Linked DNA regions of Macaca fascicularis. The protein of the gene in region 6 interacts with the protein of the main gene of each other region in a biochemical or structural test. Links are inferred from orthologs where the notes say so. Each region holds a gene or a part of one and is shown on either strand. Other genes may lie near its edges.

Region 1 (3,500 bases), on a different chromosome or scaffold from region 6:
TTTGATCTCTCGCTCTTCACGTTTTCGCTCATACTTTCTCCGATGTTCCGCAATTTTCTGTGCCTAGAAAAAAGAGCCATAGCAAAATAAGTCTGCTCCAAAAGCTGAATAACATCAACACAAATATTTTTTGTGGAGAGATGTTTAATTCAACATGCAGTTCAGAAAAATGACAGATTTGTCTTGTAGAAAAAGACCTAACACAAGCTCAGGCTTTAACAAAACCAACCTCAACTGCACGAGGCACTGTAAAACAGAGTAAAGGGGCCTGGGATTTGAAGTTAGAAATGTTACAATCTCAAACAATTAAGCTCAAAGATTAACAAATAGGTTTCTAAGTGCATGACAATTCTTGCCTGCTAGTTTCTACCAGATACAGTGTTTAGGTTTCAGAAGGACAGCTGAGATCAGTGGAAAGAGTATCATTACGGATGTCAACCCTGGGAAGGCAAAGACTGGGAACACATACACCAAGTATATGTCACAGTATATTTAAGCTTCTGTATCCATAAAATAGGAGAGGAAGAAATATTTAGTCTTATCAAATTGCTATAGGGATTAAGAGGGGAAAATGTAAATATGTGTACCAGACACTAGTTAGTAGTATCAAATAAATGCTCTGGATCTGTTATTTCCTCAGAGAATAAAGTAAATTTAAGAGATTCATATTCAACTGTCACTTTAGCTTGTTTATACTTTGCTGACAAAGTTACAACTTTGCCCTATTTTAAGAAGAAAACAGAAAACCAAATGAACTCTCTGGCAGTAAATAATTAAATTCAATACAATTTCCACTATCTTAAAATCTCAAAGTAAATTCCTGACAGTTGAACTTCCCACAGAATGAAAGATTTACCATGTAAACACATTAATATTATCTTAACCAACAATTTCAGAGAAAAATCATCCTTAAAAGCTGGAATGTTCTACCTTTGGGATTCAATATTATTATTTTTTAAAGATTGAAAATTCTTTGTTTTATTAAGACAGCTTCGCTCTGTCACCCAGGCTGGAGTGCAGTGGCCTGATCTTAGCTCACTGCAACCTTCCACCTCCCAGGTTCAAGTGATTCTCCTGCCTCAGCCTCCCAAGTAGCTGGGATTACAGGCGCGTGCCACCACACCCGGCTAATTTTTTGTGTTTAGGAGACACAGGGTTTCACTATGTTGGCCAGGCTGGTCTTGAACTTCTGACCTCATGATCCACCCGCCTTGGCCTCCCAAAGTGTTGGGATTACAGGCGTGAGGCACTGCGCCCGGCCGGAAGACTGAAACTTCTTAACTTCCACAAGGCTTCTTGCTTTATAAAGTGGCTGTATACACCTATGATATCTAAGGACACATCAGATTCAATCTTGGGTAATGCTAATTATAGATTTTCTATTTGTTTCCTTGTTGTAAACCTGATACCCTCTTTTCTAATTTTCTGGTTATAATTCCACTGCAAGCTTCCAAAGTAACAGAGTTTGCTCTAATAATGCATGAGAAATGAAAGCATGAAAACCTAATGAGATCTCCAGAGTTGAGCACAAACTTCAGCAATTACAGATTATATCTTCCGATAGTTTCTTTGCCTATTTTTCAGATGAATTACAGCTGTCAGGGGCTAAGCACTCGAGCGATGGAGTATTAAACTAATGACTTTCCTTTCTCTACTTTAACATACCCTAGGTTGAACTTCTTTCAGCATTGCACTAGCATCTTCATCATAATCCAATTTACAGGCAAGGGCAAGATCATGGGCTGCTTCTTCCCAGTGGCCTAGAAGTCTGAAACAGATTTACACTCATTTTAGGAGCCTTTTATACATATTCACCTATGTGGCATGGTATCTTTTTTTCCTTAAAAAAAAAAAAAGATTGTTCTAAAACAGGCTTAAGTTAAATATTAACTATAAACTTTCACCAACCAATTCAGTTACTATATCCCACTTTAGTTAACTCTATAAAAACATTTAAATTTCCTCTATTTAAAGCTGATCTCCTACTAAAAGCTAAAAAACAAAATTTTTCTTAATTTAGAGTATCATAAAATTTTCTAAAAAGTATATAGAGCAGTAACTTTCAACTCACCCAAACCAGGACTAACATAATGTGTTAGCTTTTAGCTACCTTCTATGTAAGACAGGAGAGAAAATAATACACGTGTACAGGCTTTATGAAAAACACAGAACAGGTAAGCCAGAAACTACAGATTGGTGGGGGTAGGTGAGAATGGGGTACAGGAGACAGCAACGGAAATTGACAATTCTCTGGGTATACCTTTTAACTCAGGTGTAACTCTTCAAACATTTAAATGCTTTACATACTCAAAAAATAAAATCAGAAAAATGGAAATAAAGCAAATCCTAAACCTCAATACAAACAAATAAGCTGTGTGGCTGGGTGCGGTGGCTCATGTCTGTAATCCCAGCACTTTGGGAAGCTGAGGCGGACAGATCGCGAGGTCAGGAGATCAAGACCATCCTGGCTAACATGGTGAAACCTTGTCTCTACTAAAAATACAAAAAATTAGCCAGCCGTGGTGGCAGACACCTGTAGTCCTCGCTACTCGGAAGGCTGAGGCAGGAGAATGGCATGAACCCGGGAGGCGGAGCTTGCAGTGAGCCAAGATCACACCACTGCACTCTATCCTGGGTGACAGAGGAAGACTCCATCTCAAAAAAAAAAAAACAGAAATAAGCTATGGCTAGGCGCAATGGCTCATGCCTGTTATCCTAGCACTCTGGGAGGCTGAGGCTGGTGAATCACCTGAGGTCAGGAGTTCAAGACCAGCCTGGCCAACGTGGCAAAACCCCATCTCTAAAATAAAAAATTTGCCAGACATGGTAGTGCACACCTGTAATCCCAGCTACTAGCGAGGCTGAGGCAGGAGAACCGCTTGAGCCCGGGGCGGAGTGAAGGGGGTGCAGTGAGCCGAGATTGCACTTTACTCCAGCCAGGGTGAAAGAGCAAAACTCCTCAAAACAAAAAACAAAAAACTGTGTATTTTATTAACAACATAAGCTACACAGAAAAAACAAATTCAAGTAACTTTTCATACCGTTATCTTGACTGTATATTTCAAGTGGGATATATATTCTAAGAATAAGAACATCCTTGGGTCATGCCTGTAATCCTAATGTTTTGGGAGGGAAAGGAGGGCAGATCACTTGAGGCCAGGAGTTTGAGAATATCCTGGCCAATGGGCTAAACCCCCTTTCTACCAAAAATACAAAACATTAGCTGGGCATGGTGGGGCATGACTGTAAGTAATCCCAGCTACTCAGGAGGCTGGCTGAGGCAGGAGAATCACTTGAACCTGGGAGGCGAAAGTTGCAGTGAGCCAAGATCGCACCACTGCACTCCAGCCTGGGTGACAGAGTGAGACTCTGTCTAAAAACAAAAGACAAAGCAAAACAAAAACTTCCAAAAAAACCTTCAAACTTTACTTAGGGCATATACTGTTTTTAAGGTATTATAATTCTGAAACAGTTTTATGTATATCATAGCACTGTAGTAA
Region 2 (3,500 bases), on a different chromosome or scaffold from region 6:
TATACCCAAAATTATTGTAACATTTTTCCAGCTAATAATCACTGATCCTTTTACTTACATTTCTTTAATATTGCAACTAATAAGCTGGGCACGGTGGCTCATGCCTGTAATCCCGGCACTTTGGGAGGCCGAGGTGGGCGGATCACAAGGTCAGGAGTTCGAGACCAGCCTGGCCAACATGGTGAAACCCCGTCTCTATTAAAAATACAAAAAAAATTAGCCAGGTGTGGTAGCGTGCACCTGTAATCCCTGCTACTCTGGAGGCTGAGGCAGGAGAATAGCTTAAGCCCAGGAGGCAGAGGCTGCAGTGAGCCAAGATTGCACCACTGCACTCCAGCCTGTAACAGAGCGAGACTCCACCTCAAAAAAAAAAAAAAAGATAGCAACTAAGATAATAAGTGCGTTTCACTGTAACTTTTTACTTACTTTAGCAGGTTTTTCACCTTTCACTTCCACATTTTCCAATATCCTTGTCACTCCTATTCCTTTAATTACTTGGCCAAACACCACATGTTTCCCATCCAAATGAGGAGTTGGAACTGTTGTGATAAAAAACTGAGAACCATTTGTGTTGCGGCCTGCGTTTGCCATGCTCAGTAAACCCTCCCGATCATGCTGTAGAAATAAAAATCATTAAAAGAAAACCAAGGTTAGATGTGTTCTTTCTGAATCGTGTGTTAGTCTGAACTGTTCTTTTACTGAACATAAAACTGAGGTGCACTATACTACCATTTAGATCAAACTGTACTCTCTTTTACTTTTCACTTATGACATTTTTAATTACTTTTTTTTATAAACTGCAACCTTTAATTCACAAAACATGGGACACACTTAATCACTTTTTAAACTTTAAAAAACCTTATCAAAGTAAATAGGTGACAGAAACAATAGTCCGAGGGAAGCTTATTTCTAAACCGGCCATGAGAAGATACTTATACTTCACCTTTAAAATGAAGATGCAGCATTATGAAACTCTTGTCATATATTTTGCCCTTTTTATGATGAATGCTCTTTTTTTCTGGGAAGATCTGAATAGTCTTCCAAATTCATAAATATGCCTACAGTATGTTTTCCTTTACGTATCAATAAACTGGGAACAGTAATGGGATATTGAATTTACCCAAGACATTCAGTTTGATACTTTCCTAATCTCAAAAGAATCCAAATCATACAGGATTTGGATTAGGTTTTCATCCCAGATGAATCAACTCTTCAGAGAGTGCTCAAAAGAAACTGCTGCATGCATCTTGAAATCAAAATTCTACCTTGGCATAATACTGTCAAAGCATCTATGAAACCCAATTTCTGAACCTTTTCACTTTATCTCCTAGGCTTTCTAAATGTATTCCTTGTTGGTGCACGCACCGTAACTCTCATGTTATATAATGTCTCACGACACCCCCCCACCCCACCAAAATGCCTTTTACTCCCCTCAATCTAAATCAAATTCAGATTTTAAGGCCACCAAGTTTATAGAAAGCAAGAACCATGTATCTTGTCTATAGGCCCCTTTTCTCTATATCAACCTGATCATCACATAACCTTTAGTTTTCATCCTTCTGGTAGCTTCCTTTGGTACAACAGTAACTAGAACTTTATTTCCTTGACGTGTCTTTCCTCACCCACGTCCCTTTTTAAATTCTGCATCAATACTACGGTTCCTGCCTAACCAAATTTCAGCCACGTTGCCACCTTGCAAGACCCAGTCTGCACAGCCTACGTAGCCAGTCATTCCTCCTCAATGACTTCCATAATAATTCAGACTGCATTAATCACATCTTTCTCCTACAGTATACAGACAGTATGTATTAGCAATGTCATACAAGCAAGGTTATTCAATCAATTTAGCATTTATTTATATACTATTATCCTCCAGTAATTCCATGTATCTTAATCTTGTCTCTGAGGTAGGATTATAAATTCCTTGACATCAAGGCCTTTCATTTTTATAAACCTTTGGTGCCAGTGATAGTGCTGCACATAGAATTGTAGTCTCAATAGACACTGGCAGGAAGACTGATGACATTTTTTCAAATTATCCTAATAACCTTGCTCATATTTCTTATTTCTAAAAATATCACTTTACTTTTGTATTTACATGTCCATTCTTATAACTTGAATGATGCAATATACCCCCATTACATCTTGGGACAATGAAGATAAGAAGGCACAGGCACCACTAAAGTCCTTTAGGAGGTTGGACATTTAACTACATCTACTATTGTGCAAATCCCCTGACATCCTGGATATTAGTGATGGTTTTGTTGCTCTTCAAATTCAAGGATAAAGATGCACAAGTTACCATCCTTCCAACAACGAAAACATTTTTCCTGGAAACAATTTTGCCAGATGCTGGTCGCATGTAAAAACTCATTGGCTTAACTGAAGCATATAAAAACTGGATCACAATGAAATAATGCTAAATAAATCTTTACTGCATGAAAACTTTTCCATATTAAAGAACCGTTATTTACAAAAGTGATTCCTTTTACAAGAAATGGGAGAATCTAAGCACACTTGAGACATTTTTTGGTGTCTTAATCCAACAAGTATTCCAGATATATAATGATCTTTTTATCAGCAATAACATTACCTTATAGTGGAAATTTTCATCTTCAAATTTTTCACCATAAATACTTTCTCCACCTGTCCCATTCTGATTTGAGAAGTCTCCACCCTGAATCATAAATTTCTTAATAACTACAAAAAAGGAAATGGCTATTAGTGACTGAGACATGGATGCCTTTAGCAATGCTTACTAATGGATATGTGTGTAACACAACTTTCTAGTGCATTACTCTAGTCATGTCACTCTCTTGTCTGCCCTTCCCCACCCGTCCCCGCAATTTCAAATGGGTCACGCTTTTCACCGTCTGAATCCAACCTACTTTCCCTGCCTGATCCCCGCTAACATTCAGAAAATCGGTTCAAATGATACCTCCCCTATAAAACTGTCACTGAAATCCCAAAGCTCTATGTCCTAATTTTTCTCCCACAGTATCTTGACTCTGCCTACATAACATACGGCATTATGATCTGCCCCTTCCAGCAAACAATGATGTCCTTAAGTACACCAACTGTATTGTTTTACATCCTCGTAACTATGTGCATGTACACATATTAGTTACTCAACAATGTCTGCTGAATAAAGACCAATTATTCCCAGTAGATTTGTACTGCCCTAATGGAAAATTTTCAGCAAATATATCACTTTGTGTCAAAGGTTACCAAGACTGCTTTCATGTTCAGAGAACCCTAGAGCCCACACAAATCAGTATTTGGTGGGATCACAGTGGTAACGATACACAGTGAGATGATGAGGGCGAAGACACAGGCTGAATCTGGAAAAATCCATATGCAAGCTTCCTTATGCTTTCTCCCTCCCATGAAGTGCCACAGAACACACACTTCCCCCAGCAACAAAAATGCAGCAACATGTACACAGTATCTCTGCCCAGGAAAGCCAATTAGACACTCAGCACCCAAGGTATTTATTGGGC
Region 3 (4,255 bases), on a different chromosome or scaffold from region 6:
AGCTGGGGGTCGTCTGTGGGGCCTACACCAAACCCTGTACGTGCCACTCAAACTCAAGTGCTCACCTCTCCTGCCCAACTCTAGGAGAGAATCTAGTATTCCTGCAAACTCCATCTCTGGCCCAGCATCTCTTACAAGGCTTTCTACCTCTTGACAGACCCAGCTTCCCTTTGAACGCCAGCATCTGGCAGCGTCTAAACCCTATGGACTCAGGAAAGCCTTCGATGGTTGAAAAATTCACAGACACGTGGTCAAGTTCCTTGAAATGGGGAGGCCATTTCTCTCTGGGTTTCTGTTTCCACCTCAGTAAAAGAGAAAACGGGCCAGGTGCAGTGAGGCACGCCTGTAATCACAGAACTCTGGAGGCCAAGGTGGAGGATCGCTTGAACCCAGGAGTTTGAGACCAGCCTGGGTAACACGGTGAAACCCTATCTCTAAAACAACAAAATACTAAAATTAGCCGGGTGTGGTAGTGCACACCTGTAGTCCCAGCTACTCAGGAGGCTGAGGTGGGAGGGCCTGAGCCCGGGAGGTCGAGGCTGCAGTGAGCGGAGATTGCGCCACTACACTCCAGCCTGGGCGACAGAGCAAGACCTTATCTCAAACCACCCCTTTTATGCCTTCGGCCTGTACCGAGCACTTCCTACCAGGGCCACTGTTGGGTCTTGGCAAAAAAACAACCATAGAATTGAGTAAGACTGCCGCTCTCAAGGATCCGTCCAATCTGGGGCAGAGCTCACCCCCATTTGGAATCATTCACCCTTCTAGGAAGATTTAATTATAAACCTCAGCTCAAATCCTTGGCGCGCTTACAGCTTTCCAGGCACCCAGCTAAGTGCTGTACATGCGATAGCTTATTTTAGGGGTCAGCAGAGGTTTTTCTGAAAAGGGCCAGACTGTCTTCAGCTCGGCAGGCGCTAAGGTCCCTACGGCAACTGTTCAACTGTGTCTTCTTAGCTCGAAACCAACCACAGGTAACATGCAAACCAAGGAGTGTGGCTGTGTTCCCACAAACCTTCATTCCCAAAAACAGGCCAGAGGTGGATTTGGCCTTCTGGTTAGCTGATACCTTGCCCGGTTGAATCCTCACACACCTGAGGTGGTTACTTTTATAATCCCCATTCCACAGAAGAAAAACTGAGGCTTGGAAAGATGGGAACCACCCAAGACCACCCAGCTAGGAGGATGCAAATGAGGCGTTCTGAACCCAGGCAGCCTCACTTGAGAAGCTAAACTCCAAAGTGCCCACTTCTCGCCACACAAAATTGGGTGCACACACAAAACTTTGTATACCATTTCCCGGGCCCACACACTCCCAGCTGCCCATGCTGGGGAAGAATCACTGATCTAGGGTAGGTTTTTTTTGTTTTTTGGTTTTTTTTGACAGGGTCTCGCTCTGTCACCCAGGCTGGAGTGCAGTGGCGTGATCTTGGGTCTCTGTAACCTCTGCCTCCTGGGTTCAAGGGATTCTTCTGCCTCAGCCTCCTGAGTAGCTGGGATTACAGGCGCACGCCACCATGCCCAGCTAAGTTTTGTATTTTCAAGAGAGACGGGGTTTCACCACATTGGTCAGGCTGGTCTCGAACTCCTGACCTCAGGTGATCCACCCGTATGGTAGGGTGTGGTTTTTAAAGCGTTATTGACATTCAAAGTTGGATCGTTTTCTGGGGTGGGGCCGTCCTGGGCACTGCAGGGTGCTGAGCAGCAACCCTGGCCTCCACCGACTCCAAACCAGGGGGTCCCCTGAATCGTGAAAAGCACAAATGTCACCAAGAATCTCTGGGGCACAGAATTGTTCCTGGTTGAGAACCACACTGGTCAAGGGAGGGAAAAGGCAGAGAGAACGAATAATCAGAGACAGAAGCAAAAGTAAACGGGACAATGATCCAACCTCTGAGAGGCACATTGCACTGCAATTTTCTGCCACCTAATAACAAAAACAGCTGTTCTCAAGCCAGCTCTCTCTTATCAAGTTCCAGGCACCTGATCAAATCATTGAATGTGGGCTTATCCTCATAATGACCCTCCCAGACATCTGCTTTTACAACTCGTTTACGAAAAAGAAGGTTTGCTCAGAGAGGGAAGGCAACTCATCCAGGTTTACACAGCGGGTGGGTGGTGGTGGTGGGCTGGTTCTGAATCCCAGATTTCCCCCACCTCTAGCACGATATGCAGAAGAAGACTCTAAACATGAAATAAGACGAACGGCTGCTAATTCTTTGGAGTTCTCAGATTCCGCTGGACCCTGCGGCGGCTCTCATTCTCCCAGGCAGGGACTTCTGACAACGCCCGTTTTACAGACGGGAAAACTGAGGCTCCGAGAAGCCAAGAGGCTGGGCAAGGTCACCCAGGTAGGGACTGGCGACGCTGGGACCAGAGCCCCGACTTGAGTCCCCACAAACGGGGGTCCCCGAGTCACAGGGACGACTTTTCCAGGCAGTTAGTAAGAGCGGAACGGCAGCGAACACCCAGCGAGCGCTCAGTACATGCGGGGCGCCTTCCCCTCCAGCCGTCCTCGCCACCAGTCCGCGGACCAGCATTTCCAGGACCTGGGGCCCGGGGAAGGGAGATCAGGGCTCGAAGGGCCTGCCGATGCCGCCCGGCCTCAGTTTCCCCTCCGCTCCGCCTACTCACAGGACCCCGCGGGTCGCGCTGACCCTGGCCTCACGATCCCCAACCTCTTACGGGCTCTGGGGCCCCGTGAGCCCCGAGTCGCAGACCCCACACCCGCCAGGCTCAGCACAGTGCCCCTCACTCACCTCTCAGGCGACCGATCCCCGACCCACCGACGGTTGCGCTTGCGCACCGCGGAGCCGCCCGGCCCCGGCCCCCGGGCGCGACGCCTGCGCAGAAGAAGGGCTCCCCGGGTTGCTTCCCTTCTGCACAGGCGCGTTAATGATCGAGGTGGGCGTGGAAGGAAGTGACGCAACGTAGAGGCGGGAACCAGCTGGTCGTTAGGGCAACTGACCTCTACGACCTAATGGAGGCCGGAAGTCGGGGCTGGTTTGCCCTCTAGGGCGGGAACGAAGCGGTGCACGGTGGAACAGTGGCTGACTCCAGCCGGTCGCCGAGCTGACCACGTGGTGCTGGGCCGGCCACGTGGTGCAGCCGCGTTTGGCCACCTGGACTCCAGAGCGTCATAGCCCCGCAATGAATGGGAGTCAGTGTTGTCCGCTCGCTATCTTTGTTCATTTATTCACCCACCCATCTACTCACCCACAAATGCATTCTTTCATGCAGTCAATTTATGAGACGCTTGTGAGAATAGAAACATTAGTAGGCAGCAGGTGCCTAATATTCCATATTTATTGCAAACCAGTCATAAAAACCAGCAAAGTGTCTACTGTCATTATTTTGCATTGGGGTAGACGAACTATAAACTAATAAACTAGTACATAAGTAGATAAACAAGAAATTTCACAGCTAACACTACAAAAAAAATGAAGGTGGTGTGATTGCCACCGGGAGCTAAGTTGTATGGTATGGGTAGGAAAGATCATCCTTTAGATTTGGATTTCAAGGATAGGAAAAAGTCCAAACGGACCCCAGGCACAGGGAACAGCAAAAATGAAGGCCAATGTAAAAGCTTGGTGTGCTCAAGACATATGGAAAAAAAAATAGAGATGAGAGATGAGAAATTTCCAAGGACGACAGAAAACTGATCACCATCTGAGTTATAATTGACAGAAATGTTCTCCCAATTCATTGTTGTCCTACTCGAAATACATGCACGATTAATGGCGTGGATTATTTTAATTTCTTTTGCAGAAATAAAGAAGGTGAGACCGGGCGCGGTGGCTGACACCTGTAATCCCAGCACTTTGGGAGGCCAAGGGGCAGATCACTTGAGGTCAGAAGTTCGAGACCAGCCTGGCCAACATGCTGAAAACCTGTCTCTACTAAAAATACAAAAACTAGCCGGGCGTGGTGCGGGCATCTGTAGTCCCAGCTACTCGGGAGGTTGAGGCAGGAGAATCGCTTGAACCCGAGAGGCAGAGGTTGCAGTGAGCCGAGATCGCGCCATGGTACTCCAGCCTGGGCGACAGAGTGAGACTCCGTCCAGTCCCTCCAAAACAAAACGAAACAAAAACAAAAAACATAAAAGGAAAGGAGGTCGGTTGCTTCGTTTTTGCCAGTTTAATTGTAGTACATTGTTTTTTCTGGGTGCCATAACAGTTCAAGACAGACGGTTCCAGATGTTTTTTGTTTCAACCCACAACACTGGATGTAGGTCAGGTTACTGCACTGTTCCAAA
Region 4 (3,500 bases), on a different chromosome or scaffold from region 6:
TCTCGCTCTGTCGCCCAGGCTGGAGTGCAGTGGCCGGATCTCAGCTCACTGCAAGCTCTGCCTCCCGGGTTCACGCCATTGTCCTGCCGCAGCCTCCCAAGTAGCTGGGACTACAGGCGCCTGCTACCTTGCCTGGCTAGTTTTTTGTATTTTTCAGTAGAGACGGGGTTTCACCGTGTTAGCCAGGATGGTCTCGATCTGCTGACCTCGTGATCCGCCCGTCTCGGCCTCCCAAAGTGCTGGGATTACAGGCTTGAGCCACCATGCTGGCCCAAGAACAGAATATTTAAACCATTCTGTGGCTATATCATTTTTAGTTAAAGTTTTTAAGGTTTTATTCTGTTTACCATGTGCAGGAAAGAAAAAAATGGTATCAGGTTAAACGTGAAACTTTGTTGTAGTACAGGTTATTTCAGTAGGAAATACAAGGGAAAAAATAAAATTTTTAAAAAATGACAGTTATAGTGGTTTGGGGCAATTAGATAATTTGAAGTTTTTAGTAGTCAAGGGCATGTTTCTTTCAGAGTCCAGAGAAAATTTAGGTAAAGAAATGAAAAAGGTGAGAAATGACAAGCTACTTTCTGTCATGTAGTGATACTGGAAAGATAAATGGTATGATGGTCCTTTTGTTTTTAGGATTCCAAGCATAAAAGAACGGACAGATCAATTTTATGCTGTTTACGAAAAGGAGAATCTGGCCAGTCATGGCCAAGGTTAACAAAAGAAAGGGCAAAGGTAGGTTTCGTTTCCCTTTTTTGAAAAGTTTGATGTTTTTATTGTAGGTAATAAAAGATACACTTATTTGATGTAAGGAATATACTGCTGTGTTTTTGTTTCACAGCTAAGTATAAAGCCTCATGTTCATGTTTTTTGTCTACTCAGTTTTAACTTAATACGAAGTGTGATTAGAATATCAGTTATTAACTGGTGTAGAATCTTTTGCACTTAAGAGATAGACTTTGCATAAATTACTCAGCTATCAAATGGGAGGGGACAAAGCTTGGTGAAAAAGTAAATTAATCAACTGAAAATAGTTCTTACTAGTAAATTTGTTTTCAAAAGGTGTGTTTAACAATTTTCAGTGTTTTATTTTTCAAAACCAGGGTCTCTCTTTGTTACCCAGGCTGGAGTGCAGTGACACCATCTCGGCTCACTGCAGCCTCAGCTTCCCAGGCTCCAAGTGATCCTCCCCGCTCTGTCCCCCAAGTAGCTGGGACTGCAGGGGCATGCCACGACACCTGGCTCATTTTTGTATTTTTTGTAGAGAAGGGGTATCACAATCTTGCTCAGATTGCTCTTGAACTTCTAGGCTCAAGCGATCTCCCCACCTCAGCTTCCCAAAGTGCTGGTACTATAGGCATGAGCCACCACACTGGCCTAATTTTTTTTTTTTTTTTTTTTTAGATAGTCTCATGCCACTCATGCGAGAGTGCAGTGGTGTGAACATGGCTCACTGCAGCCTCCACCTGGGCTTAAGCGATCCTCCCACCCACCTCAGCTTCCCAAATAGCTAGGATTATAGGAATGTGCCACCACGCCCAGGAACTTTGTTTTTTTGTTTTTTCCCCAGATACAGGATACACTATTGCTCAGGCTGTCTTGAACTCCTGAAGGATTACACAACCAATCTTTCCACCGTGGCCGCCCAAAGTGTTGGGGTTACAGGTGTAAGCCACCCCATTTAGCTTAGTCTATTCTTTGTGTGCTAATTACATGCCCTCATAAAAATACAAAGTCGCAGTTCAAAAAATGTTGTTTTGCCAGGGACCAGTAGCCATGTGGTGCCTGTTGTAGTTAAAAGCGATGCTGGAGGGTGAAGTGGGAGAATTACTTGCGCCCAATTCTGGGTTGCAATGCCATATGTCAGTCAGGTAACCATGCTAAGTTAACATCAGTATGGTGGTGTCCCAGGAAGCGGGGACCACCAGGTTGCTTGAAGAGTTAACAAGACCCTTGATCAGAAATGGAGCTGATCAAAACTCACATTGATCAATAATGGGATTGCACCTGTGAATGCTTGCTGCACTCCAGCCTGGACAACACAGCAAGACTTGGTCTCTTTAGAAGAAAAGAAAATGCAGTCTTAAGGTTCATGCCAAATGCAAATTAACCTAACCTTAGGGTGATGTTTGTATTGATTTATAGCTTAATTGGCTTAGTGTCGACTTCAATAATTGGAAAGACTGGGAAGATGATTCAGATGAAGACATGTCTAATTTTGATCGTTTTTCTGAGGTAAGTTCCATTAAATGGACGTCTCCCCACTCGAAGTACACAGTACCTGTCTGTAGTCAATTTAATTTGGTTTTGGGCACATATTCATGATGCGTGTTATTTTTAAGACCATTTTAATGATTTTAAAAGGAATCAGTGTTACCTGCAAAAGTTAATGTATTAAGACTAACACAGCTAGTTTGCTAATTTCCTAATTTCATCATTGGGATTTTTTTTTTTTTTTTTTTTTTTTTTAAAGCATGATTGCAGTAGTTGACTTGGATTTTGAAGCCATAAAATAAAACTATAAACTTTTGCCGGGCGCGGTGGCTCAAGCCTGTAATCCCAGCACTTTGGGAGGCCGAGACGGGTGGATCACGAGGTCAGGAGATCGAGACCATCCTGGCTAATATGGTGAAACCCCGTCTCTACTAAAAATACAAAAAACTAGCCGGGCGAGGTGGTGGGCGCCTGTAGTCCCAGCTACTCTGGAGGCTGAAGCAGGAGAATGGCGTAAACTCGGGAGGCGGAGCTTGCAGTGAGCTGAGATCCGGCCACTGCACTCCAGCCTGGGCGACAAAGCGAGACTCCGTCTCAAAAAAAAAAAAAAACTTTTGACCAGGCGCTTTGGGAGGAGGCCAGCACTTTGGGAGGCCAAGGCTGGCGGATCACGAGGTCAGGAGATCCAGACCATACTGGCCAACATGGTGAAACCCCGTCTCTACTAAAATACAAAAAAAATAAGCTGGGCGTGGTGGCGTGTCCTTGTGGTCCCACCTACTCCTGAGGCTGAGGCATGGGAATTGCTTGAACCCTGGAGGCAGAGGTTGCAGTGAGCTGAGATCGTGCCACTGGACTCCAGTCTGGCGAAAGAGCGGGACTTGGTCTAAAAAATATGACTATAAACTTTTAAACACAAGAATCATAGGCTGGGTGCGGTGGCTTATGCCTGTAATCCCAGCACTTTGGGAAGCCGAGGCGGGTGAATCACGAGGTCAGGAGTTCCAGACCAGCCTGACCAACATGGCAAAACCTCCCCTCTACTAAAAATACAAAAATTAGCTGGGTGTGGTGGCGTGCGCCTGTAATGCCACCTACTCAGAAGGCTGAGGCAGGAGAATCGTGTGAACCCAGGAGGTGGAGGTTGCAGTAAGCCGTGATCGCTCCACTGCACTCCAGCCTGGGCGACAGAGCAAGATTCCATCTCAAAAAAAATAAATAAATAGGGCTGGGCATGTGACTCACACCTGTAATCCCAGCATTTTGGGAGGGTGAGGCAGGCGGAT
Region 5 (4,251 bases), on a different chromosome or scaffold from region 6:
AGGAGTTCAAGGTTGCCATGAGCTATGACTGTGCCACTGCACTCCAGCCTGAGCAAGACCTTGTCTCCAAAAAAAGGTCAATTCCATTGACTTTTCTAAGGTGTACACCATCAAGGGGCAGTTCCATCCCCAGGCCATTGGCTCATGAGACATTCTGAAGTCAGAAGGCTAGGGCAGATCGCTTTCAGCAAGCCCCCACGGTGGTTCTCACTCCTACTTCTTTGGATATATGCCCCTCTGTTTAAAAATAAAGTTAATATGGATAAAAAAAAAAAGAAAGAAAGAAAAAGGTCAGTTCCAGAAACTCAGTGTGAATAAAGCATTTTACTTGCTTTTTCTATTAATCTATAACATATGTTGGTTTTTAAAAAATAATGTAAGAACCATGCAAATTGGAGCTTCAAGACAACTTCCCATCTCCCTAGGAGGAGACGGCTGCCCTAAACCCCCATACATAGAAATCCGCCCACTGCCAGGGCTTAAATTTGACGTTGGGGAAATGAAAAATCCAAGCTAAGGCCGAAGCTTGGGGCCTGGGTGACCAGTAGAATGAGGACCACTGGTCAGTTTCAGGCTGAGATGCCTCTTCCAGGGGACAATCTCCAGCTGGCCCTTAAACATTCAGACTTCAAACTCTACTTACAGCATAAAGATGTTTCAAAAGACGTGATACAAATAACTGTGTGTGCAAATGTTCTGCGATGTGTTAAGCACTATTTCAATTTGGTCTAATTTAAGATTTCTTTTCTAGCGTCACGGTTACATACATCATAGATCCAAATACTTTTTTTTAAAGTACAGTTCTACTGTATTGTAACTGAGTTAGCTTGCTTTAAGTGAATTTGTTAAGGAAAGGATTCACCTTGGTCAGTAACAAAAAAGATGGGAAAAAAGCAAGGAGAAAGGAAGCAGCCTGGGGAAAAGCGACCTTAGCCAGGGGGGCGATTTCGGGACTCGGAGGGTCGGGGTGGGCGGACTGGGGAGCTGGCCACGTGGAAGGTCGCTCAGGACCTCTCCAGGAGAGGACACCGCCTCAGGCTGACTGAAAGGAAAGGGGCAGGGGACCCACTGGCGGAGTCACTGGCCTTGCCCCGACCCCGCAGGGCCCGAAGGAAGACACCCACCCCTCCAACGAGACAAAGGCTCCAGCTATGGGAGGCGGAGAGTGCGCGTGCGCCATGGAACGCGCGTGCGCGCTGCGGTCAGCGCCGCGGCCTGAGGCGTAGGGGGAGGGGCACCGGGAAAGGGCAGCGCCGAGAGGAACCAGCCGGGAGGCGCCGGACAGCCGAGCGGCAGGGCGCTCGCGCGCGCCCACTGGTGGCCGGAGGAGAAGGCTCCCGCGGAGGCCGGGCTGCCCGCCCCCTCCCCTGGGGAGGCTCGCGCTCCCGCTGCTCGCGCCTGCGCCGCCTGCCGGCCTCGGGAACGCGCCCTCTTCGCCGGCGCGCGCCCTCGCAGTCACCGCCACCCACCAGCTCCGGCACCAACAGCAGCGCCGCTGCCACCGCCCACCTTCTGCCGCCGCCACCACAGCCACCTTCTCCTCCTCCGCTGTCCTCTCCCGTCCTCGCCTCTGTCGACTATCAGGTAAGCGCCGCGGCTCCGAAATCTGCCTCGCCGTCCGCCCCTGTGCACCCCTGCGCCGCCGCCCCTCGCCCTCAGCCTCCACAGACTGGGGCTTCGTGCGCCGGGCATCGGTCGGGGCGACCGCAGGGCCCCTCCTTGCCTCCCCTGCTCGGGGGCTGGGGCCAGGGCGGCCTGGAAAGGGACGTGAGCAAGGGATGCACGCACGCCTGAGTGCGCGCGTGTGTGTGTGCTGGAGGGTCTTCACCCGCTTCGCGCCGACCCCAGGTGGAGGCCGTGCCGGCAGGGTGGGGCGCGGCGGCGGTGACTTGGGGGAGGGGGCTGCCCTTCACTCTCGACCGCAGTCTTTTGCCGCAATGGGCGTGCGTGGGGGGGAGGGGTCCGATAACGACCCCCGAAACCGAACCTGAAATCCGCTGTCCCTGCCGCTGTTCGCCATCAGCCCTAAGGAAGATGTGGATCGGGTTCTAGAAAAGATGACTGACTCCCTGCACGCCCCTCCCTTTACCTCCCGAGCAGTGATTCCGACAGGGCCTTCACTGCCCCTGATTTTAGGCGGGGGCCGGCCCCCTCCCCTTTTCCTCCTTCAGAAACCCGTAGGGGACATTTGGGGGCTGGGAGGAATCGAGGAGATGGGGAGGGGTCCAGGCGCTGTCACTTTAGTTGCCCTTCCCCCTGCGCACGCCTGGCACAGAGACGCGAGCAGCGCCGTGCCTGAGAACAGTGCGAGGATCCCAGTGTGCACGCTCGCAAAGGCAGGGGTCACCTGGCCTGGCGATGTGGACGGAGTCGGCGGCCGCCGGTCCCCGCTCGCGGGCAGGCACAGCAGCAGCCATGCACTGACGGGCGCGGGGCTGCAGGTGCATCTCGGGGCGGGTTTCTTTCTCAGCGCTCCGCGCGCAGGGTGCCCGGCGTGTGCGCTCCCTGCCGGAGGCGCGGGGCTGGCGCGCAGGGCTCGCCCCTCACTGCGGCAGTGGGTGTGGATCCTGGTGGGCGAGGAGGGGGGAGGATAGGCTGTGCCTCCTCCCACTCCCGAGGTGCCATCTTTTTTCGGCGTGTCACGTCTTTACGGTGCCATGCCAAACCGGGTGGCCGGGCTTCGTAGGACAGGGCGGGGCCTGGCATTAAAGGGAGGGGGACAATCAGCGCTGAAATCTTGGCGTTTTGCTGCTGCGGGCGTGAGCGCTGGGGGCGTTCACCCAGCACCTTCTTCGGGGGCTCTTTGCTTTGTCTGTAGAGGTTACGTGATCTGCGCTCCCAGCCCTGGTTTCTGGCTTTTATTCTGAGGGTGTTTAGCCAACCTCCCCCCACCCCCAAGCACCTCTTTCCTTTTTCGTTCCTCATTTCCGAGCCCATTGTTGGATCTCGAGGCTTGCTGGGGTCGACGAACCCGAGTCAACCCCCCGACCCCCGGCACGCATGGAACGGGCGTGACCGCGCGCAGCCTCGTCTCGGAGTCTGCGGGCGCCAGGAAGCTTCTGAAGGGATGGGATTCGAGTCTCCGTGCTGCGCTGCGGGCGGCGGCAGAGGGATCACGCCCCTCCCAACACCCCGAGTGTCCTGAGGGCCAAGCCACACCAGGTTGCCCAACGAGGGACGCTGGCTACCCATTCGGGGATGGGTGGGGAGCCCCGGTGGGGCCTCTCCAGCTTTACGCCCTGTTGCTTCGCCTGGCGGGAGAATGTGAGGAGGGGGCATAAGGTTACTGGTGCTGCGGCCACACCCATTTTTCTGAGCCCACTGGAGGGGGCACAGAGGGGGAATTGCCATGGGAACCACAGGCGTCCGGAGAGGGGACCTTGGGGCTGGCCCCACCCCTTCCCTGGGGAGATTGGGGACCCTGGGGTAGGCGGGGCCGCGCCCAGTTGGCCTCCTGGAGGACACGGGAGGAAGCCCCCAACCCCTGCACCTGAGACTCTAATTGGCCTCTGGCGGCCGCAGATAGGCAGCCCTTGGGTGTATTTTTATTAATATTATGTCTGTACTGATTAATATTATTTATCGTAAATGCGGGATTTCACCCGTATCCAAGTTCACCGTACCCCCAAAACCGAGTCTGGGGCTGCAAGGAGAACTCCTGGCCAAGGCATCCGAGCCTCGCCCTCCTGTGATGAACCTGGTACGCGCCGTTTTCTGGTTAATTCTATCGCTGAAAACTGGTGCGGGGGGGCGCACTTCTGAGACGAACGAGCATCTAGGAGCTGAATCCTCCACGCGGGCTGCCCAGGTTGATCTGAATTTCCGGGGAATGGCTTGACTGGGGAACTAGAGCCCGCCCGGGACCAGGCTGACCTTCCTCGACGGTGGCGTCGAGGGCTGGAGCCTGAGTGCTGCGAGGCTTCCCGCATGGCTGAGCCACCGCGAGGGGTTGCAGAGCGGCTCAGGGGTCAGTTCAAGCATCTTCTCTCCTCCCTCGCCCCCAGACAGAGCTGGGCGCGGGATTCCGGTTCCAGATGGAGTGAGGGTCTCGGGACGGCCCTGGAAAAGGGGAGCCCACGGTCAAGGCTGCCTATTGCCATCTCGAGCAGAGATGTCACCTGCTGCCGTTGGAGGAAAGGGAGCCCGGTGGGGATGAGCGCATTTAGCCCAATGCTGGGAACAAAGCACAATCCGCGCTTCTGCGATTTCGCTCCATTTTGAAATGTGTTGGCGCTTTGGTTGGGCCACTGC
Region 6 (3,762 bases):
GTTTTGTCCTTGGAATGACTCAGTGCATTTGATTTTTATATTTTTTTCAGACTTCATTAGAGGGGTGGTAGACTCAGAGGACCTCCCTCTAAATATATCCCGTGAGATGTTGCAGCAAAGCAAAATTTTGAAAGTTATCAGGAAGAATTTGGTCAAAAAATGCTTAGAACTCTTTACTGAACTGGCGGAAGATAAAGAGAACTACAAGAAGTTCTATGAGCAGTTCTCTAAAAACATAAAGGTTGGTGTAAATATTTGACCATTGGTAGTTTCCCTGCTGGCCTCTTTTTAGATTTCTTTTTGAATTCAGAGAGTCTTTAGTAAAGAACATACTTTGTTTTAGCTTGGAATACATGAAGACTCACAAAATCGGAAGAAGCTTTCAGAGCTGTTAAGGTACTACACATCTGCCTCTGGCGATGAGATGGTTTCTCTCAAGGATTACTGCACCAGAATGAAGGAAAACCAGAAACATATCTATTATATCACAGGTAGGGGGACGCTATGTTACAGTCTATACGTCGTTCTTATAACCTTGTAGGCTCTGTGGGTGTGTTTTCTACTCAGGTAGCACTGTTATAACTGGCGTTGATCTAGGCAAGATAATTAACATGAACTAGGTCATTATTTGTCTTAGGTTCTGCCTAGGTATCTGGCTAGCAAAAGTTAGAAGTAGATGAAGCCATTCTTACTGTTAAAAGGTCTAAAAGTAACTTTGTAATACCTCAGGTGAGACCAAGGACCAGGTAGCTAACTCAGCCTTTGTGGAACGTCTTCGGAAACATGGCTTAGAAGTGATCTATATGATCGAGCCCATTGATGAGTACTGTGTCCAACAGCTAAAAGAATTTGAGGGGAAGACATTAGTGTCAGTCACCAAAGAGGGCTTGGAACTTCCAGAGGATGAAGAAGAGAAAAAGAAACAGGAAGAGAAAAAAACAAAGTTTGAGAACCTCTGCAAAATCATGAAAGACATACTGGAGAAAAAAGTTGAAAAGGTATGTGAATACAGCATTTCCTGATCATTGATACCTCTAGGGTGTTTTCAAGCTTAGTCATACATGACCCATTTTTCTTTGCTTTCAACTTAAAATAGAAAACTATGTCGTGTATGGTTGGGCGTGGTGGCTCACGCCTGTAATCCCAGCACTTTGGGAGGCTGAGGCAGTGGATCACAAGGTCAGGAGATGGAGACCATCCTGGCTAACACGGTGAAACCCCGTCTCTACTAAAAATACGAAAAAATTAACCAGGCGTGGTGGCGGGCGTCTGGAGGCTGAGGCAGGAGAATCTCCTGAACCCGCAAGGCAGAGGTTGCAGTAAGCCAAGATTGCACCACTGCACCTCCAGCCTGGGTGACCAAGCAAGACTATCTCGGGGGAAAAAAAAGGTGGTGTACGTAAAACGAAATTAATTATAATCTGTGCTCTTTGACTACCTAATGCAACATTTAAGTTCTATTTAATAGTATTTCGGATCTATTGTTTGGGTTCTTCAGATTTCATTTGACAATGAAGGTTTAGGGTTTAATCTTTCTAGGCTCCTAGTCATCACTTCTTGATTACAGGTGGTTGTGTCAAACCGATTGGTGACGTCTCCATGCTGTATTGTCACAAGCACATATGGCTGGACAGCAAACATGGAGAGAATCATGAAAGCTCAAGCCCTAAGAGACAACTCAACAATGGGTTACATGGCAGCAAAGAAACACCTGGAGATAAACCCTGACCATTCCATTATTGAGACCTTAAGGCAAAAGGCAGAGGCTGATAAGAACGACAAGTCTGTGAAGGATCTGGTCATCTTGCTTTACGAAACTGCACTCCTGTCTTCTGGCTTCAGTCTGGAAGATCCCCAGACACATGCCAACAGGATCTACAGGATGATCAAACTTGGTCTGGGTAAGCCTAATACTATGTAATGTTAAAAAGGAAAGAAATAGGCCGGGTGCGTTGGCTCAAGCCTGTAATCCCAGCACTTTGGGATGCCGAGACGGGTGGATCACGAGGTCAGGAGATCGAGACCATCCTGGCTAACACGGTGAAACCCCGTCTCTACTAAAAAATACAAAAAACTAGCTGGGCGATGTGGCGGACGCCTGTAGTCCCAGCTACTCGGGAGGCTGAGGCAGGAGAATGGGGTGAACCCGAGAGGCGGAGCTTGCAGTGAGCTGAGATCCGGCCACTGCACTCCAGCCTGGGCGACAGAGCGAGACTCCGTCTCAAAAAAAAAAGGAAAGAAATACACATGACAGTGAAGAAAGTGGTAAACTTTCAGTTACCCAAACTTGGAGCACCTTGTCCTGCTTGGAGGCATTCAAGAATATTTTTTTTAGGGATAAGTAAGGTCTTATAAGAGCTAAGAAATGAAATTGAGATTTATATGCCCTGTAAATACTGTCTTGAAAGCAGGTATAAATCAGGAGTATTACACTAATAGCTGGCTTTAAGAAATCTTTCTAATACGAGGATTTTATTTTGGAAACAGGTATTGATGAAGATGATCCTACTGCTGATGATACCAGTGCAGCTGTAACTGAAGAAATGCCGCCCCTCGAAGGAGATGACGACACATCACGCATGGAAGAAGTAGACTAACCTCCGGCTGAGGGATGACTTACCTGTTCAATACTCTACAATTCTTCTGATAATATATTTTCCAGGATGTTTTTCTTTATTTTTGTTAATATTAAAAAGTCTGTATGGCATGACAACAACTACTTTAAGGGGAAGATAAGATTTCTGTCTATTTCTAAGTGATGCTGTGGTACCTTAGGCACTAAAGCAGAGCTAGTAATGCTTTTTTAGTTTCACATTGGTTTATTTTAACAGACTGGGGTAACGTGTGTTGTAAGATGTATGTAACATGATGTTAACTTTGTGGTCTACAGTGTTTAGCTATCAAGCCGGATTTCTAAGTAGACCAAATCTTGTTATTGAAGTGTTCTCGAGCTATATATACCTGGATGTTTAGAAAAGTATTTGTTACATCTTGTAGGATCTTTTTGAACTTTTCATCCCCTGTAGTTGCCAATTTTGCATGTACTAGTCCTCTAGAAATAGGTTAAACTGAAGCAACTTGATAGAAGGAACTCTCCACAGGGCTTGTTTTCCAAAGAAAAGTATTGTTTGGAGGAGCAAAGTTATAAGCCTACCTAAGCATATCATAAAGCTGTTCAAAAATAACTCAAGTCTTGTGGATGGAAATGTAGTGCTGGAGTCACATTCTGCTTAAAGTTGTAACAAATACAGATGAGTTAAAAGATGTTGTGTGACAGTGTGTCTTATTTAGGGGGAAAGGGGAATATCTGGATGACATTGGTGCCAAAATGTAAAACATGAGGTGCTAGCAGTAGACGGTTAAACACTGGCCACTCCAAGGGTTGACGTGATCTTCCCAGCATATACTCCGCAGGTGTGGGGTGGAGCACATGAAGTAGGCACAGAAAATAGCAATGCAGACGTGTATCCCCTGTCTCCGTGAGTTAACACGTGTTCTCCCCTTAGCGTCCACATTGTTTTGATGTTATTCATGGAATACCTTCTGTTCTAAATACAGTCACTTAATTTCTTGGCCTTACAGTGTCTCAAAGTTGTTTACCAAATCTACTTAAAGCTATCCTGTTTGAAATCTCTCGTTACTAATTTTCTGGTTTTTTATTGAGCCAGCTGACACCTGTAAGCAGCAGGTAACAAGCTGGTGGGAAAAAGATGGGCTGGCACAAGTCAAAGGAAAAAGTGCCAGGAGCAGTGGCTCACGCCT
Region 7 (3,500 bases), on a different chromosome or scaffold from region 6:
AAATCTGTTTTTTTTTTTTTTCCATTGCCTTTTGACCTCCATTGTTTCTGTGAGAACTCAACAATCATTCATATATTTGTTCCTTATAGTCTGTTTTTTTCTTCACTGGTTTTAAGATTTTATCTTTGGTATTTAGTAGTTTGGCTTTGATGTGGTTTTTTTTTTTTTTTTTTGCATCTATCCTGTATTCACTGAGCCTTTTTGATCTGTGGGTTAATATCTTTCATTAGTTTTGGAAAGTTTTTAGCCATTATCTCTTCTTCTGTTTCTTCCCATTTCTGCTCTCCTCCGTCTGGAAAGCTAATAACATGCTTTTTAGACCATTTGATACTATTCCTTAGATTTTAATGAGTTGAATTTTTAAATTCTTTGCACGATTTTTCCTCTGTGTATTTCAGTTTGGGTAATTTCAGTTGTCCTTATGTTCACTGATTCTTTGTAACTGCTGTTAAGCCCAACAAATGAATTATTTATTTCTTATGTTGTATTTTTTATTGGTGGCATTTTCATTTAGTTTTTTTTTTTTTTAATAGACTTTTCTTCTCTGTGTCTCATGTGTTCATGCATATTGTCTACCTTTTCCACTAAGTCCTTTCACACATTTACCATGGTTATCTTAATTAAAGTCTCTGGTAGTTTCATCATCTGGTTCATCTCTGAGTCTGCTCTGTTACCAGTTCATCATGTGTCTTATAATTTTATTGTATGCCAGGCATTTTGTATAAAAGAACATTAGAGACTGAGGTAAATAAAGATTTTCCTCAGAAAATGGCACACCTAGGCTGGGCACCGTGGCTCAGGCCTGTAATCCTAGCACTTTGGGAGGCCAAGGCATGCAGATCGCTTGAGCCCAGGAGTTCAAGACCAGCCTGGGCAACTTGGAGAAACCCCATCTCTACAAAAAAAAAAAAAAATACAAAAACTAGCCAGGCATGGTGGTTGGCACCTCTAGTCCTGGCTACTTGGGAGGCTGAGGGGGGAGGATCATCTGAGCTTGGGAGGTTGAGGCTGCAGTGAACTGTGATCGAGCTACTGCACTCCAGCCTGGGTGACAGAGTGAGACCCTGTCTTAAAACAAATAAACAAGAAAACGGCACACATTTCTTCTGTTGAGCCACAAGAGGGAGGGGCTGTGTGAACCTCATCTGTAGTTTAGGGGCAACTTTTGTTGGAATTTCTTTACCACTGGCTTTAAATGTGTTCAGAGTAGAATTAGGAGTTTCCCTTCAGCAGACCTTGGGATCTTAGCCCTGGCAGAATTCCAGGGATGTCTTTATGTTTTAAAGTCGCCAGCTTTTGGAACTGTGGGAGACCTCTGGTATTCAGCCCTGCCGTCGGGCTGTGGGGCCGCTGGGGTGTTCGCTGCTCTCCACTCTCACCCCGCTCTGTACCTCAGGGGGTTTCTCTCCACCTCACTACCTCGCACCCAGCCTTCCCTGAAGCCCGTGTGAGGGAGTTGGCGGGGGCAGAGGCGGGCTGTGCTGGGGCTCCCTGGAGTCCTCATCTGTCACGCCAGTCCCCACATGGTCATGAACTTCCACTCGTTTCCCCTCACGCCCAGCCCCAGGGCATCCCGCCCGCCTGCCAAGCACCAGGATAAAAGCTGTGGGCTCCTTCCCCAAGGAAAGGCTCGTCCTGTCTGCATTTTGATTAATTTAGGTCCCTTTGCATTGCCAGCCCTCAGATGGCTTTAAATTTGATTTTGTTGCTTGCTTGGCTTGTTTTCATCTTTAGGGCGAGACAGTCTTTTGTAGCTTTTCTGCCTTCTGACTGGAAGTGGGTGCCTCCTGCATTTTCTTAACACCTTTTCCCCAGCTTATTTTGGAAACTGTCAAACCTACAGAGAGCTGAAAGAACAGTACAGTTAACATCTATCCACCCTTCACCCACATTCACCACTTGTGAACATTTTAATGCATTGACTTAATGTGTCTGTCTGCTTATATATGCATTTGTATGTGTATCCTTTTTTTTTTCCCCTAACCGATTTGAGAGTAAGTTGCAGTCATAATAACCTGGATCTCCCAAAAACAAAGGCGTCCTCTTGTATGACCACAGTTGAATTGTCCTACCTTAGAAATTCATCATTGATGCGATAATACTAAGGTAGACGGTCCACGGGCCATCCGGAAAATCTGGAAACATTGACAGATATGCATGTCATTGTCAAGGTCATCTCCAGTCTGTGAAAAATAAATCATCTGCATTTCTAGACATCCGTTAATATTTTAATTCTCCCCAGCTTTCCCTAAAACATCCTTTGTAGCTGCTTTTTAAAAATTCAGGGTCCATTGAAAGCACCAGTGTTGCCTATGACCTGCCTTTTTACCTCTTTTTACTGGAAAGTCTCACTTCTTTTTTGGGAGACTTTTATGACAGTGACATTGAGCTGTGTCCAGGCCAGTTCTTTTATAAAATGTTCTACGATCTGGATTCATGTATGTATTTCCACATGATGCTGAGTGTTTTCAGATAATTCAAGAACCAGATTTTCACATGAAACAATCGCAATGCTTCAGCACTGCACAGTCCACAGAAGCCTGCGGCTGCCTCTGGCCCCACCTGCCCCTGCTCCCCCAGGCCTCCCCTGCCCTTTTTCTTCTCTCCCTGCTTCTCCCTTGCCCTCAGCCCAGCAGCGTCTCCTGGGCAGTCCAGGCTCTCGGGGCTGGGTTGGGTAGCAGCCCCTGCAGCCGGTCCCACTGAGTCTGCCCTGCCTTCCAGATTCTGGTACAGGTCAAAGAGGTCCTCTCCAAGCTGAGCACGCTCGTGGAAACCACACTCAAAGAGGTGCGCGTTGTGGGGCAGTCGGGGGAGGGCCAGCGGGGGTGGGCTCTCTGGCTGGGGAGGGGCCACAGAGCTCAGGAACTTACGGAGCCACCTCCCTGTCTCCCTCACACCCCCACCCCTGTGCCTTTCCTCCTGAATATCCCATTTCTCTGCTGGCCTCTTGGTCTCTGTCCCACCCTCTTCGTTTGTGTCCCCTGCTTGTGTCTCTTGCATGATTCTTCTCGGTCTACTGTGAACTCTTACCCTTCCCCTCACCTCTGCCCCCTCCCCACGTCTCTCTCTGGGCCCCTCCCTCTCCGGTGGCCTCTTTTCTTTCAGACAGAGAAGATTACAGTATGCGGGGACACCCATGGCCAGTTCTATGACCTCCTCAACATATTTGAGCTCAACGGTTTACCCTCGGAGACCAACCCCTATGTATCCTTCTCGGCAGAGCCACCCTCTCCCCACCTCCACCCCCAGCCCCAGCCTCAGATCTGCAGAGGGGGAGGAGCCCCTGCCAGGGAAAAGACGTGACCTTGGAAAGGAGAGGCCTGGCCATGCTGGGGCACCAAGATGTGGGTGGAGCTGCAGGCTGGCCACGCACCCCAGGCTCCAGGCTCAGACAGGCCTGGGCCAGCACCCAGCGGCTGTAGGACCTGAGCTGGTAGCTCAGTCTCTCTGGGCCCTGGCTTGTCTTCGTCTGCCTCAGGATCGCATTTGAATGGCACCTG

The links.
Region 1: the proteins of HSP90AA1 (region 6) and ST13 form a complex in vitro, tested with the Homo sapiens proteins (2 studies listed by BioGRID). The link is inferred for Macaca fascicularis from reciprocal best matches to the Homo sapiens genes HSP90AA1 and ST13.
Region 2: the proteins of HSP90AA1 (region 6) and PPID form a complex in vitro, tested with the Homo sapiens proteins (2 studies listed by BioGRID). The link is inferred for Macaca fascicularis from reciprocal best matches to the Homo sapiens genes HSP90AA1 and PPID.
Region 3: the proteins of HSP90AA1 (region 6) and SGTA form a complex in vitro, tested with the Homo sapiens proteins (2 studies listed by BioGRID, with this or other methods). The link is inferred for Macaca fascicularis from reciprocal best matches to the Homo sapiens genes HSP90AA1 and SGTA.
Region 4: the proteins of HSP90AA1 (region 6) and PTGES3 form a complex in vitro, tested with the Homo sapiens proteins (10 studies listed by BioGRID). The link is inferred for Macaca fascicularis from reciprocal best matches to the Homo sapiens genes HSP90AA1 and PTGES3.
Region 5: the proteins of HSP90AA1 (region 6) and MAPT form a complex in vitro, tested with the Homo sapiens proteins (3 studies listed by BioGRID, with this or other methods). The link is inferred for Macaca fascicularis from reciprocal best matches to the Homo sapiens genes HSP90AA1 and MAPT.
Region 7: the proteins of HSP90AA1 (region 6) and PPP5C form a complex in vitro, tested with the Homo sapiens proteins (4 studies listed by BioGRID, with this or other methods). The link is inferred for Macaca fascicularis from reciprocal best matches to the Homo sapiens genes HSP90AA1 and PPP5C.

What each region holds. Positions count from the first base shown.
Region 1 is NC_088384.1:10,804,210-10,807,709, reverse strand, and holds part of ST13 (hsc70-interacting protein), read right to left. Parts: intron 1,769-3,500; coding exon 1,666-1,768; intron 64-1,665; coding exon 1-63. UniProt on the Homo sapiens protein: One HIP oligomer binds the ATPase domains of at least two HSC70 molecules dependent on activation of the HSC70 ATPase by HSP40. Stabilizes the ADP state of HSC70 that has a high affinity for substrate protein.
Region 2 is NC_088379.1:163,628,949-163,632,448, forward strand, and holds part of PPID (peptidyl-prolyl cis-trans isomerase D), read right to left. Parts: intron 2,701-3,500; coding exon 2,594-2,700; intron 616-2,593; coding exon 427-615; intron 1-426. UniProt on the Homo sapiens protein: PPIase that catalyzes the cis-trans isomerization of proline imidic peptide bonds in oligopeptides and may therefore assist protein folding. Proposed to act as a co-chaperone in HSP90 complexes such as in unligated steroid receptors heterocomplexes.
Region 3 is NC_088393.1:3,463,801-3,468,055, forward strand, and holds the start of SGTA (small glutamine-rich tetratricopeptide repeat-containing protein alpha), read right to left. Parts: upstream 2,801-4,255; 5' UTR 2,760-2,800; intron 1-2,759. UniProt on the Homo sapiens protein: Co-chaperone that binds misfolded and hydrophobic patches-containing client proteins in the cytosol. Mediates their targeting to the endoplasmic reticulum but also regulates their sorting to the proteasome when targeting fails.
Region 4 is NC_088385.1:63,477,225-63,480,724, reverse strand, and holds part of PTGES3 (prostaglandin E synthase 3), read left to right. Parts: intron 1-636; coding exon 637-735; intron 736-2,145; coding exon 2,146-2,235; intron 2,236-3,500. UniProt on the Homo sapiens protein: Cytosolic prostaglandin synthase that catalyzes the oxidoreduction of prostaglandin endoperoxide H2 (PGH2) to prostaglandin E2 (PGE2).
Region 5 is NC_088390.1:67,473,557-67,477,807, forward strand, and holds the start of MAPT (microtubule-associated protein tau), read left to right. Parts: upstream 1-1,451; 5' UTR 1,452-1,584; exon of another isoform or gene 1,585-2,025; intron 2,026-2,271; exon of another isoform or gene 2,272-2,527; intron 2,528-3,037; exon of another isoform or gene 3,038-3,162; intron 3,163-4,251. UniProt on the Homo sapiens protein: Promotes microtubule assembly and stability, and might be involved in the establishment and maintenance of neuronal polarity.
Region 6 is NC_088381.1:170,183,732-170,187,493, reverse strand, and holds the end of HSP90AA1 (heat shock protein HSP 90-alpha), read left to right. Parts: intron 1-50; coding exon 51-241; intron 242-343; coding exon 344-491; intron 492-729; coding exon 730-998; intron 999-1,567; coding exon 1,568-1,901; intron 1,902-2,487; coding exon 2,488-2,597; 3' UTR 2,598-3,262; downstream 3,263-3,762. UniProt on the Homo sapiens protein: Molecular chaperone that promotes the maturation, structural maintenance and proper regulation of specific target proteins involved for instance in cell cycle control and signal transduction.
Region 7 is NC_088393.1:54,411,392-54,414,891, forward strand, and holds part of PPP5C (serine/threonine-protein phosphatase 5), read left to right. Parts: intron 1-2,721; coding exon 2,722-2,787; intron 2,788-3,105; coding exon 3,106-3,204; intron 3,205-3,500. UniProt on the Homo sapiens protein: Serine/threonine-protein phosphatase that dephosphorylates a myriad of proteins involved in different signaling pathways including the kinases CSNK1E, ASK1/MAP3K5, PRKDC and RAF1, the nuclear receptors NR3C1, PPARG, ESR1 and ESR2, SMAD proteins and TAU/MAPT.